Rattus norvegicus: one gene and its partners. Each later gene encodes a partner of the first gene's protein in a complex. Links are inferred from orthologs where the notes say so. Each region holds a gene or a part of one and is shown in the gene's direction. Other genes may lie near its edges.

Region 1 (3,649 bases):
TTTACATGAGACAAACCCTTCCAAAAATAACTTAGGAAACCCTAAAGTCTGAACATGGGTCAGTATGCTTTTTCTGTAGAAGCAGGCATTAGTGATTTAAGTCTCACGGGCCATGTGATCTTTGTCTCAACCGACAACTCTTGTTTTCCATGAAAGGAACCATGGAAAATACCTCGATATTATGAGTTGGCTGTGTCCCAGTAAAACTTTATTGGAATGTGAATTTTATATGATCATCATTCATAGTGACATTTCCAATATTGGTTTACCTTTTAGTCATTGTGAATTTTAAAAATCAGTTTTAGCTCAGTGGTCATATAGAAGCCTGTAGGCTTGTATCATCAGATTGAAGCTGCAGACCACAGCAGCCAGCCTATGGTTTCAGATATCACATTCAATCTCCTGAGACAGTGAGGGGTATGCTACCCCACTGAAACATCTAAAGAGAGAACCTCAAGTTTCAGCTGAGACCATCCAAAGAATAGGAGCATTTAATCATCATCTTAGCCAAAGGGCCTAAATGGCTCTCATTTTACCCTTCCTTCCTTCCTTCCTTCCTTCCTTCCTTCCTTCCTTCCTTCCTTCCTTCCTTCTTCCTTCCCTCCCTCCTTTCTTTCTTCCTTTCACTTTCTTTTTCTTTTTCATTATTTCATCATCTCTTCCTTCCTTCCTTTTTTATTTGAGACTAGGTTTCTCTGTGTAATCCCTGGAACTCACTCTTTAGGTCAGGCTGACCTCCAACTCAGAGATCCACCTGCCTCTGCCTCCTAAGTGCTGGGATTAAATTGTTTATCACCTATTTAATGGACGCTAAGACTTACTTTCTTCCAATATACCCAAACATCCCCTTTTATTGTCTTTGTTCTCCTAAAAATTCCTATCCCCGTCTCCTCATCACAAGTCTACATGGTGCACCCTATTGTTCTAGAAGGTAGTAATGTGTGAATATATGCTTACAGGAATTTATAATGTAAATAAAGTAAATACTTCTGTGCATATTACAGATGAGTATATAACATGTATATAGTGGCAAAATAAAAAATAATAGCTGTCCTGCAAGCCCTCCTGGTATTTTACAGATTCTTTAATGGTAAATAGAACCAACAAGGGAAAACATATGCTTGTATGTATGCTTGCTGTATGTACTAAACTTACTATAAAGATCTATATGTTCTCCAAAATGCTGAACATAGAGTTTTGAACCAGTTTTTGACTTCATAAAAGAACCTGGTGGTGTACAGCAGCCCACATGGTGACCTGAGTTTTACCTTTTTACCCAGTTCTCCACTTTCTCAAGTATACTTTTATCCATTAGAAGAGGTACCTTTTGCAATTTTACATATGATGCTGAAGAATTATTTCTTTTCTATTATTCTGAATTAAATTAAACATTTTGTTTTTACTATAGTTCAAATAATAGCTTTATTGGGTACCTTTGTGCTATTATAATAAAAATGTCTGAGATAGCTAATTCACAAAGAGAAAACAGTAGCTCACAGTTTAACAAGTTCGAAGTCTAATGCTAGGCTACCCCAATTGCCTGATCTTTGCTGAAGTGGTAGATGATTATAGCAGGAGATCAAACATGAGCAGAGAAAAAGGAGATGGGTGTGTCCGTGTTTCTCTTCTTGTACTGATTGTCTTTGGGGAAGACATGGACGGAGTCAAGGAATCATGTGAAAACTCCCAGGTGGTTGCACATAAACTGCCCCACACCTTAAATAATCTAAAGACCTCAGCAAGGCTTCAACTCAACAAAGATCTACCATAAAATAATGCCACCCTGAAGACAAAGACTTTAACCACAATGGGCCCTTGGGGGACACTCTTTGAACAACACCTCAATCACAGCAGTGGTACACAGTAAGCAGCAACTAGTGTTAGCCTTCCTCTCTGCATAAGTGATGCTTTCTCCCCTTATACCAATATTATAAGCACTTCTTCTTATACTCTTGCACCCCTTTCTGTTACAGACTCGAAGTGAAGCTGCCATGACTGTCCTGAGTGGTCATGTTGTAGTCTGCATCTTTGGGGATGTCAGCTCAGCCCTGATTGGCCTCCGGAACCTGGTGATGCCGCTTCGTGCTAGCAATTTTCACTATCATGAGCTCAAACACATTGTGTTTGTGGGCTCCATCGAGTACCTCAAGCGGGAGTGGGAAACACTGCACAACTTCCCCAAAGTATCCATATTGCCTGTAAGTCAGGGTCACACTATTTGATGTCCTGTTCTTCATCTTTATATTCACAAGAGGAAGTCCCAGGTGGCTGTAATTGTTGAAGCTTTGATCATGTGTCTGCTCCTTTATGTGGCTACAGGCCTGAGGATGTGGGAGTCCTTCCCCTGTACTCTGCTAAGAAACTAAAAGCCTGGGAGGCCTTATTAAAAGAATTTGCAGCCAAGTGCAGCCCCTTGTCAAGGGTGAAGTTGAGCTACCTCTACATGCATTAATGTACCACTGTCTAAACTCTCTTTCCTGGGTGAAATTTAGAATGTCACCCTATTTTGAGATATATATATATATATATATTATACATGTATAATATATATATATATATATAATTATTGGCATTTTAATTTGACACGGTTAATCTTAGAGAAACATAGACCTGTCCCATCTTCCATCTGATATTGACCAAATAAATAAATAAATAAAGAGCAAGTTTATCTCTACTGTATGGAATTTCATACCTCCTCTCTGGGGAATCTGGGAATTCATCCTTTGTCTAGAAACCCAGACATGTTTTCCATGGCTTTGTGTGTTTGTGTATATATGTAAACACACACACACACACACACACACACACACACACACACACACACACACGTGTGTGTGTGTGCTTATTGATCACAAAGATTGCTAGGACACCAATCTATAAAAGACAATTTGGGACTCCACAATTTAGTATGAAGATAAGGGATGGGTAATTTAAAAGCCAAATGACTAGCAACTTTATAATTATAATATATTATCCACAAAATTTCAGACTTAAAGACTAATAATTCTTTTCAAAGTTTTATATGGTTTATATATGCCAGAAATTCAGGAAAATATTGCCTATCCTCCAACTATTTTTATTATCAAGTCATACCTAAAATTGAGGGGTATGCAGCCACTTAGCTATCAAGAGGTCTGTTTTTCCCTACTTTTTTATCAGCTTGTAGAGCAACAGAAATGCAGCCAGAAGAGCCAAGCAGTATAATGTGTTAAAGAATATATAAGGGGCTATTTACAGATAGCACCCTTGGGTGCACTATGTATCTCCCATAATGCCTGGTCCAACAGGTCCCTCAATGCAGAAAAAACATTAGACAGATCCGGTTTGGATACAGGACCAAACCCTGACTGCTTTAATGTATACCTGCAGTTAAAGATGGTCACTTGTTACAGTTCACTCTTTAAAGAAGCATATCCATATACTGTATATCTGTTGCTAAATTCAGAAATATGACCAATCAATTTGATTATCTCCTTCTGTGGTCATCACTATTTACGTGTGATATATCACATGACCCCTTTAACTCTGAAGGTATCTCTGTAAAAAGTGAACTAATTTGCTAGGTGCACAGGTGGATGTTTATGTAGGCAGGACTTGTGGCATGACCTCTGATATTTTTGCATATGCCTGTGTTTCCTTCTGTGTGACC
Region 2 (3,649 bases), on another chromosome or scaffold:
TTGCCATTGTTCCGAATTGGAAATTTTAAAATATAGTTAGGCAGTGTCAATTTGGTTGTAGCTAGAGATTATGTCAAAACTAGATTTGTCATCTGTAAAATGCCCATCTCTGTAGAAGAAGGAATGGCTATGGGGGCCCATGAACAGTCAGCAAGTCGGCAATTCCCAAGATGGGTCGGACACTTTCAGATGGTTTTGTGATGATCTGCTCATGAGAAGGCTGTCTTGGACGCTGTCGAGAACCTTTTCCTGTCTTGATATCAGAATGGTAGGCAGAATATGACAGGGGAAACCACGACGCATAGTAGGGACACTAGCACATTGGTGACCACTGGGATGGGTATCCCATATTAACCCTGACTATGGCCGCCTCCTCGTCCGTCCCAGACCACAAACTATAATAAAGCAAAGCATTTGAGGAATAGAAAGTCTCCCTTTGACTATCCTGTGTAGTCATAGCTTTCCTCTCTGTGTTCTGTTTGGCCAGTGCTCCTATATCCCGCCCTGTAAGAGAGAAAACCAGAAGAACTCGGAAAGTGTCATGAACTGGCAACAGTATTGGAAAGATGAGATCGGTTCCCAGCCATTCACTTGCTATTTTAATCAACATCAAAGGTAAACCGGTATCCGTATGAGCATGTTAATGTTGGTTGTTTGTGCGATTTATTGCATGAGTAAACCATAGTTCGTGCCCACTTGGAGGAACGTGCCACTGGGAGATAACTTCAAGTTCTTTGTGGCCTATAATCTCCAGCATTAAAAGGCCACTTCCTGCTCTATGAGATGGGAGCCATAGACAGAACATGAGGGGACTAAAATGAGTGGGGAGGATGGGAGGAAGGAGGGAAGGAGGGAAGGACAGAGGGATGGAAAGAGGGAGGGAGAGAAGGAAGGAAGAGGGAGGGAGTGGGAGGGTGGGGAGAGGGAGTACCTGTACCCTACACTTACCTGTGGATATATTACAAATGGCGGCACCTTTGCTGAAGAACATTGTGCACTGTCAGTGTGCTGTAAGACTTACACACTAAGCAGTGTGCAGATTTGCCAGTATTCAGACTTCACCAGTGTTTTTGTCTTTTCTATTCTGACGAAACATCCAAATATGTACCAGGGTGGGATGGTATGGGTGGGGGGAGGGCTTCCCCTTCTCAGAGAAGGGGAGGTGGTAATGGGGGAAGGGTTTGCAAGGGTGGGACTGGGAGGAGAGGAGGGAAGGGGCCACATTGGGGATGTAAAGTGAATAAACAACAAATTACTGGGAAAACATCAGTAAGTGTGCACGCCATCAAAGCCTCGAGTGCCTTAGAAGCTACACCGTCCTTACCATAGCAAGGTGGCCATGGAACAGAACACTTGCCTGCCCACCTAGAGTAGGTTCACCAAGTTAATTTTCAGCATTTATTGTTGGGTGCTCCACAGTGACTTTGACCTCTCCCGATCTCTCTCAGTGAATGGTACCGTCATTCATTTGTCCTTCTTGCCCAGAACGGTCTAAGTGGCTCTTAGTTTCCTTCTTTATTCTCTGCCTTCAGCATCCTGTGGCCATCCCTCTGTGTGACTCTTGGATCAGATCTGGATTTTTTTCTCTCAGCTGTCATAGTCTAATAATGCCTGTCACTGTGCCACTTGAAGCCACCCTCCATGCAGTTACTCAGGCCAGCTCTCTAGCACAGGAGTCTAATCGGTCACTTAGAGTTCTCTGAATAAAGTCAGGCCTGTCGAGGCATGGTCTCTATGTCAGGTGCATGCTGTCCCACAGTAAAGCACCTGAAATCTCACAGTTTACTGAAGTGACGGGGTCTCTCATGCTTCTGTGAGTTGGCAGGACTCGCGTGCAGCTAGCTGCAAATGCAGAGAGGTGTGTGGTCCGAGACGGATACGGTGTTTGATAAAGGTTCTCACCTCTCCTTTAAGTATTGATAAAGTTCTTCAGTGTTCTCCAGAACAGGGACCTCGGCGTTCGGAAAGCTAGAGTATCTTCCTTACAGCAAGGCAGCTTTGCTCACGGAAAGAAGACCTCAGCTCTAGACTTAGGAGAGGCATCACCTCTGACATGTTCTACCGGTCTAGGCAAGCGACAAAGCCGGCAGCGTTCATAGTGTGTTGACAGAGCTTCCCACAGTTCTGCGTGTTGCCGACACAGGAGTATCCGCCTGCAAAATGTGCCGTTCTGGATACTAGCAAATTTCACACGATCAGTTCCTTCTCTAGCCCTAAACAAATCACAGGAAGGACTACCTGGAAGATACCCATGAGGCACAGTAGGCAGTGTCACTTAAGTGACGTGAGGGGAAGGGCAGATCCAAGATGGTCGATGACACAGAAGAGACAAAAGGAGCTTTTTACACGGCATCAGTGGGGCTGGAGAGGTGGCTCAGCGGATAAGAGCACTGGCTGCTCTTTCAGAGGACAGAGGCTCGATTCCCAGCACCCACGTGGCAGTTCATCTCACAATCACCTGTAATTCAACTTCCAAGGGATCTGACACTCTCTTCTGGCCTCTGGGGCAGCAGGCACACAGGTGGTGCAGATACACACACAAGCAAAACACTCATATACGTAAAAAAAGAAGCTTGACAATAAGGCTGGAGAGATGGTTCACTAGTTAAGAGCACTGACTGCTCTTACCAAGGTCCTGAGTTCAATTCCCAGCAACCATGTGGTGATTCACAACCATCTGTAATGGGATCCAATGCCCTCTCTGGTGTGTCTGAAGACAGTTACCGTGTACTTACATAGAATAAATAAATCGTTTTTAAAAAGCTTGAAAATAATAATAACAATAAGCGTCATTGGCTAATTATGTGAGACTCCCCAATGGTCAGCCCAGGCAGCAGCATTTCAACAAACATCAGCCACATACATCTTTCTCTTGCTACACGCTGTGTGCCCACCTCCCTAGCCCAACTGTATGCTTGTTCAAGAGCATACCTTGGTGCCTAGCCCAGTCCCTGCAATTTCTCTGCTGCCACAGGATGAGCATTCATTGATGGAAACAGGTGCTATGCAGTCAAGTATGATGTCATCGGCTGGAGATACAAAAGGGCAAGACCTTGAAATGGGGAGGCTGCACTCCAACAGCCAAGGCTCGAGAACAGGGCGTCTTAGGTGTGTTCGTTTGTAAGACAGTTGATTGGTAGCCTTGGGGTTAGAGTTCTACAGGGTTGTTAACATCACGCTAAAGACATCGTTTTTTGTAACACAAGCAATAAGTGGTCAGGCGAAGCCTTTTTAAATTTTATTCTTAACCGAAGACTGATATAAGTAGAGTTTCGTAGTGGGGAAGTAACCGAGTTTTCCAGTGTCCTTTGCCGTGTTGAGTGTTGAATAGAGGGTGAGTGAAAGGCGGGCAGGAAGGAGAATACTGGCCCGAAGACACAGTCTATAGTGGCTGTAAGCAGTAATTGCATTCAGCTCACAGGGAGGAAACTGAGGCTTAAAGAGTTATGTAGCTGGGGTTGGGGATTTAGCTCAGTGGTAGAGCGCTTGCCTAGCAAGCACAAGGCCCTGGGTTCGGCCCCCAGCTCCAAAAAAAGAAAAAAAAAGAGTTATGTAGTTGACCCAGGGCGTATAGCCAGTCATTAAAAAAAATCAGTTGGTCTGATTTCCAGGAATCCTTCTCTTAGCCATCTGCTGGTTTAGATAAAGG
Region 3 (3,466 bases), on another chromosome or scaffold:
AACCTACTGTGAATGCAGCCTCGGTCTCAGCCGTGAGGCCCTTATTGCCCTCATTGTGGTGCTGGCTGGTATCAGTGCCAGCTGCTTCTGTGCCCTCGTTGTTGTGGCGCTTGGTGTCTTTCGGGCCAAGGAGTGCGTGAGCTTTGGATTGGGCACAGTGGGAGTGAGGCTTTAATTCTGGCCCCAGGCTGTTAGTCATGCTTTGAGGGGCCTCTTCCTAGGGTGGTATGTCATGAGAGGCTGGGGATAGTGTTTTCCAAGGTGCGTGTTGGGTATGAGGGTTGTAGGAAGATGTTGCAGGGGACTTCCAGGCGTAAGAATGAGCATTTCTCCAAAGATCACACCTGCCTTTGTCCCCCTCAGTGACACGTGCCCTGGACACTCGGAAAACAGGTAAGTGTGTCAGAGGAAGTCTCAGAGGTGAGCTGTGTCCCCTCTCCGCCCCCTCCTGAAGTGCAGCTCACAGCTTTATTGAGAGCAACGTCCTCATGGGCTGTTCGCCCCTGGGTGGCCAAGGCCTTGTTGGACCATGCTGATGTCCATCATGCAGGTTGGAGGAGCCCTATGGGGTCCAGGAAGATCAAATAGACCTGCACACGGTGCACGTGGAGTCCCACCTCATGGACCCTGATCTGGAGGTATCCATGATGCAGTCCTTGGAGAACCAAACCCTCACGGCCATGACTGCTCCTCTACAGCCCCCTCCACCCCCTCCCCCTCCCCCCCCACCTCCAGTGTAGTGGAGAGCAGCTAGGCTGGAGAATTAAACAGTATTTAGTGATTATGTGCTGTCCTTCTTGCAGGTCCCTCATGAGGTAATGTTTGTGCATGAATCATGGTGGTTGTCTCCACCCTGGGTTACTGAGCCATACCTTTGGGGTTTCTAGCTCCTAGCCCAGCTGGCCAGTTCAGCTCTTTCCTGCATTTGCCTACTATTGATCTTAAAGAGATGACTGATCCTGGACCCTCCTACCTTCCCAGATTCCCCCAAGATAGGCCCTGTAAGCTGGCAAACCAAAATGGAACTGCAGTGGCCAGACTGAGGCCAGTGCCCTTTCCGCTGACACTGTCCTCAGGAGCTCCAAGCTGGAGAGGGTTGCAACATCTTTCCTACACTCCCTCTTTTGCCTTAGATGTGTCGTCCTTCCTACACTTCCAGGTCTTTCCCTTGTGGTTAGGCTCCATCATGTGTTTATACTTTCACCAATCCTCTGCCAAGAGACCGGGATTCTTTTAGGATCTGTGGGGTCCTTTTGCCGAATAGGAATAGAAATTGTGACTGGGGTATGGAGCAAGGCACTGCATGCTGCATTCTATGATGCAGAACTGGTGGCTTTGATCCTGCTTTTTAGGTCTCAGTGGGGAGGCCGATGGTCTCATCAGCTCTATACCGGGCTCAAGGCCAAGCCAAGACTGGAGCTCTGGACAGGTGGTTGGCAGTACTGGGCATTGGCTCTGTGCCTAGCCCCCGCCCAAGTTGAGGAACCAGCAGTGGGACAGAAACTGTTTTGCTAGGGCGGGAGAGTTAATACTTGTGCAGGTGAGGCAGGGACAAGCTCTGGGTCACCTGAACTCCGAAGCCACACAGGGATCAAGGTCCCCTCCTGTTCTCGAGCTGCCTCCATGAGGGGTTCTTTTTTCTCGCGGCTTCCGCCGCAACTCTCTCTGCTGCTGCTGCTGCTGCTGCTGTTGTCGTGGAGACGAGTCTGGACCCAGGAGCACATTGGAACTGACCCTTCCAAATCCCCGGTGGCCCCCGTATGCCCCGAGGCATGTTCATGTTCACCAGGAGGCAAGGCCAATTGCTCCGCGCTGGCGCTGCCCGCGGTACCGGCGGGCCTGAGCTGGCAAGTACGCTCACTGCTGCTGGATCGCAATCGAGTGAGCACACTACCTCCAGGTGCCTTCGCCGATGCAGGCGCACTGCTATACCTAGTCCTGCGGGAGAACCGGCTTCGGTCGGTGCACGCGCGAGCTTTCTGGGGTCTGGGAGTGTTGCAACGGCTGGACCTGAGCTCCAACCAGCTGGAAACTCTGTCTCCTGGCACCTTCACGCCTCTGCGAGCGCTGAGTTTCCTCTCCCTAGCGGGTAACCGGCTGGCACTCCTGGAGCCCTCGATCCTGGGCCCGCTCCCTTTACTGCGGGTGCTCAGCCTGCAGGACAATTCACTATCGGCACTCGAGGCGGGTTTGCTGAATAGCTTGCCTGCCCTCGACGTGTTGCGCTTGCATGGCAACCCCTGGGCGTGCAGCTGCGCGCTGCGCCCGCTTTGCACCTGGCTGCGTAAGCACCCGCGTCCCACTTCAGGTGAGCCATCTGGGGCACAGGGCGGATGATGTTTGTTGCCACTGCTGCCATCTGACGCCGCTCCTGTGTCCCGCAGAAACTGAGACCCTGCTCTGTGTGTCTCCAAAACTTCAAACGCTCAACCTACTGACAGACTTTCCGGACAACGCCTTCAAACAGTGCACGCAGTCACTCGCTGCGCGAGACCTGGCGGTGGTCTATGCTCTCGGGCCGGCCTCTTTCCTTGCCAGTTTAGCCATCTGCCTGGCATTGGGCTCGGTACTCACTGCTTGTGGTGCACGGCGCCGCCGCCGCCGCACCACAGTGCGCCACTTAATAAGGAGACAGCCAGACCCCGAGGGCCCAGCCTCCCTGGAGGATGTTGGGAGCCCTACAACAACAGCTATCCAAGCCTAAGGGTTCCGCTGTTGTTTCTAGCGCTCCTGTAGCATCCCGCACTTTGAAAACTGTCCCCAAATCCCCGATCCTCCCTTCACATTCCCTGTAGGCGTCAACAATAGACAAAACCCGGAAATTTTCTGACATTCCTTTAGGCATCACCACTGAATACCGGGATTAGGGGTGGCTGTGCGCGCCCGGTGTCCCTGGGGCAGACACTGGGACACTGGGAGAGCTGGTCATGTACAAGGTAGTGGGGTGAGTGACACCGGACTGGGAGGCAGATGGCGCTCCCTGGTGCCCAAGGTGCGGGACTCATCACGAGCCAGCGTCTGAGGAAGCCTATTGTGGCTGCGGACAGAAGAGAAGGCTCAGCCCTCTTGGAGTCTGGAGCCCTAGATGTCTGGGAGCCAGAAAGCACCCCTGAAGCACTGCCACTAGGGCAGTGAAGGCTAGCCCTGGGAAAGGTCAGAGACAACCCAGTGAATGGGGTGGGGAAATGTCGTGGGAGGGTGGTGCAGCAGGAGAGAGGTGGAAATCAAGTTGCAGAGAGCAGGCGCTGGAGGAAGGGTCGGGGGTGACCTAGCAAGCTGGGGCCATAGGCCCCCACTGTAGCTTGGGGTAGTGGCTGGAGGAAGGATGGGGCTGCCATTTCTGCTCCAGACTCCTCCGACCGGGGCCACTTAGGCCCCTCACCCCACTGCTCAGAGACCTCAGGGCCCTGCCTCTGCCGGAGCGCCCTGTGGCCCTGCCCAGCCGGCTCAGCTCTGGCCCATCCTC

The links.
Region 2: the proteins of Kcnma1 (region 1) and Kcnmb4 are in contact, whole or in part, in a cryo-EM structure (PDB 6V22), measured with the Homo sapiens proteins. The link is inferred for Rattus norvegicus from reciprocal best matches to the Homo sapiens genes KCNMA1 and KCNMB4. Residues at the interface, in NP_001154824.1 of Homo sapiens: Phe98, Phe99, Leu102, Phe103, Leu106, Leu107, Arg109, Thr110, Tyr113, Leu114, Thr116, Val117, Asp238, Leu240, Trp241, Leu244, Pro327, Trp328, Asn330, Gln332, Leu367; in NP_055320.4 of Homo sapiens: Thr11, Glu12, Ala13, Glu14, Lys16, Ser17, Leu20, Leu24, Ile34, Phe35, Cys38, Trp39, His105, Thr164, His165, Val183, Leu186, Ile187, Leu190, Thr191, Ala194, Leu197, Ala198, Lys200, Ala201, Met204.
Region 3: the proteins of Kcnma1 (region 1) and Lrrc26 are in contact, whole or in part, in a cryo-EM structure (PDB 7YNZ), measured with the Homo sapiens proteins. The link is inferred for Rattus norvegicus from reciprocal best matches to the Homo sapiens genes KCNMA1 and LRRC26. Residues at the interface, in NP_001154824.1 of Homo sapiens: Pro78, Cys79, Asp80, Ser81, Arg82, Gln84, Trp88, Ala92, Ser93, Val96, Thr97, Glu155, Trp158, Met159, Ser161, Val162, Trp165, Cys206, Leu226, Leu227, Phe229, Gly230, Leu231, Phe233, Ile234, Asp251, Phe252, Pro256, Phe259, Val260; in NP_001013675.1 of Homo sapiens: Gly204, Cys205, Gly206, Cys207, Ala208, Arg236, Leu237, Ala249, Phe250, His252, Cys253, Ala254, Gln255, Leu257, Arg260, Asp261, Leu262, Val264, Val265, Tyr266, Leu268, Gly269, Pro270, Ser272, Phe273, Ser276, Leu277, Cys280, Leu281, Leu283.

Annotation. Positions count from the first base shown.
Region 1 is NC_086033.1:967,403-971,051, forward strand, and holds part of Kcnma1 (calcium-activated potassium channel subunit alpha-1), read left to right. Parts: intron 1-1,973; coding exon 1,974-2,198; intron 2,199-3,649. UniProt on the Homo sapiens protein: Potassium channel activated by both membrane depolarization or increase in cytosolic Ca(2+) that mediates export of K(+). It is also activated by the concentration of cytosolic Mg(2+).
Region 2 is NC_086025.1:53,977,534-53,981,182, reverse strand, and holds part of Kcnmb4 (calcium-activated potassium channel subunit beta-4), read left to right. Parts: intron 1-487; coding exon 488-615; intron 616-3,649. UniProt on the Homo sapiens protein: Regulatory subunit of the calcium activated potassium KCNMA1 (maxiK) channel. Modulates the calcium sensitivity and gating kinetics of KCNMA1, thereby contributing to KCNMA1 channel diversity.
Region 3 is NC_086021.1:28,499,018-28,502,483, forward strand, and holds Lrrc26 (leucine-rich repeat-containing protein 26 precursor), read left to right. Parts: upstream 1-1,499; 5' UTR 1,500-1,623; coding exon 1,624-2,308; intron 2,309-2,384; coding exon 2,385-2,704; 3' UTR 2,705-2,826; downstream 2,827-3,466. Other genes in the region: Tmem210 (transmembrane protein 210 precursor), read left to right, coding at 1-132, 364-393, 551-740. UniProt on the Homo sapiens protein: Auxiliary protein of the large-conductance, voltage and calcium-activated potassium channel (BK alpha). Required for the conversion of BK alpha channels from a high-voltage to a low-voltage activated channel type in non-excitable cells.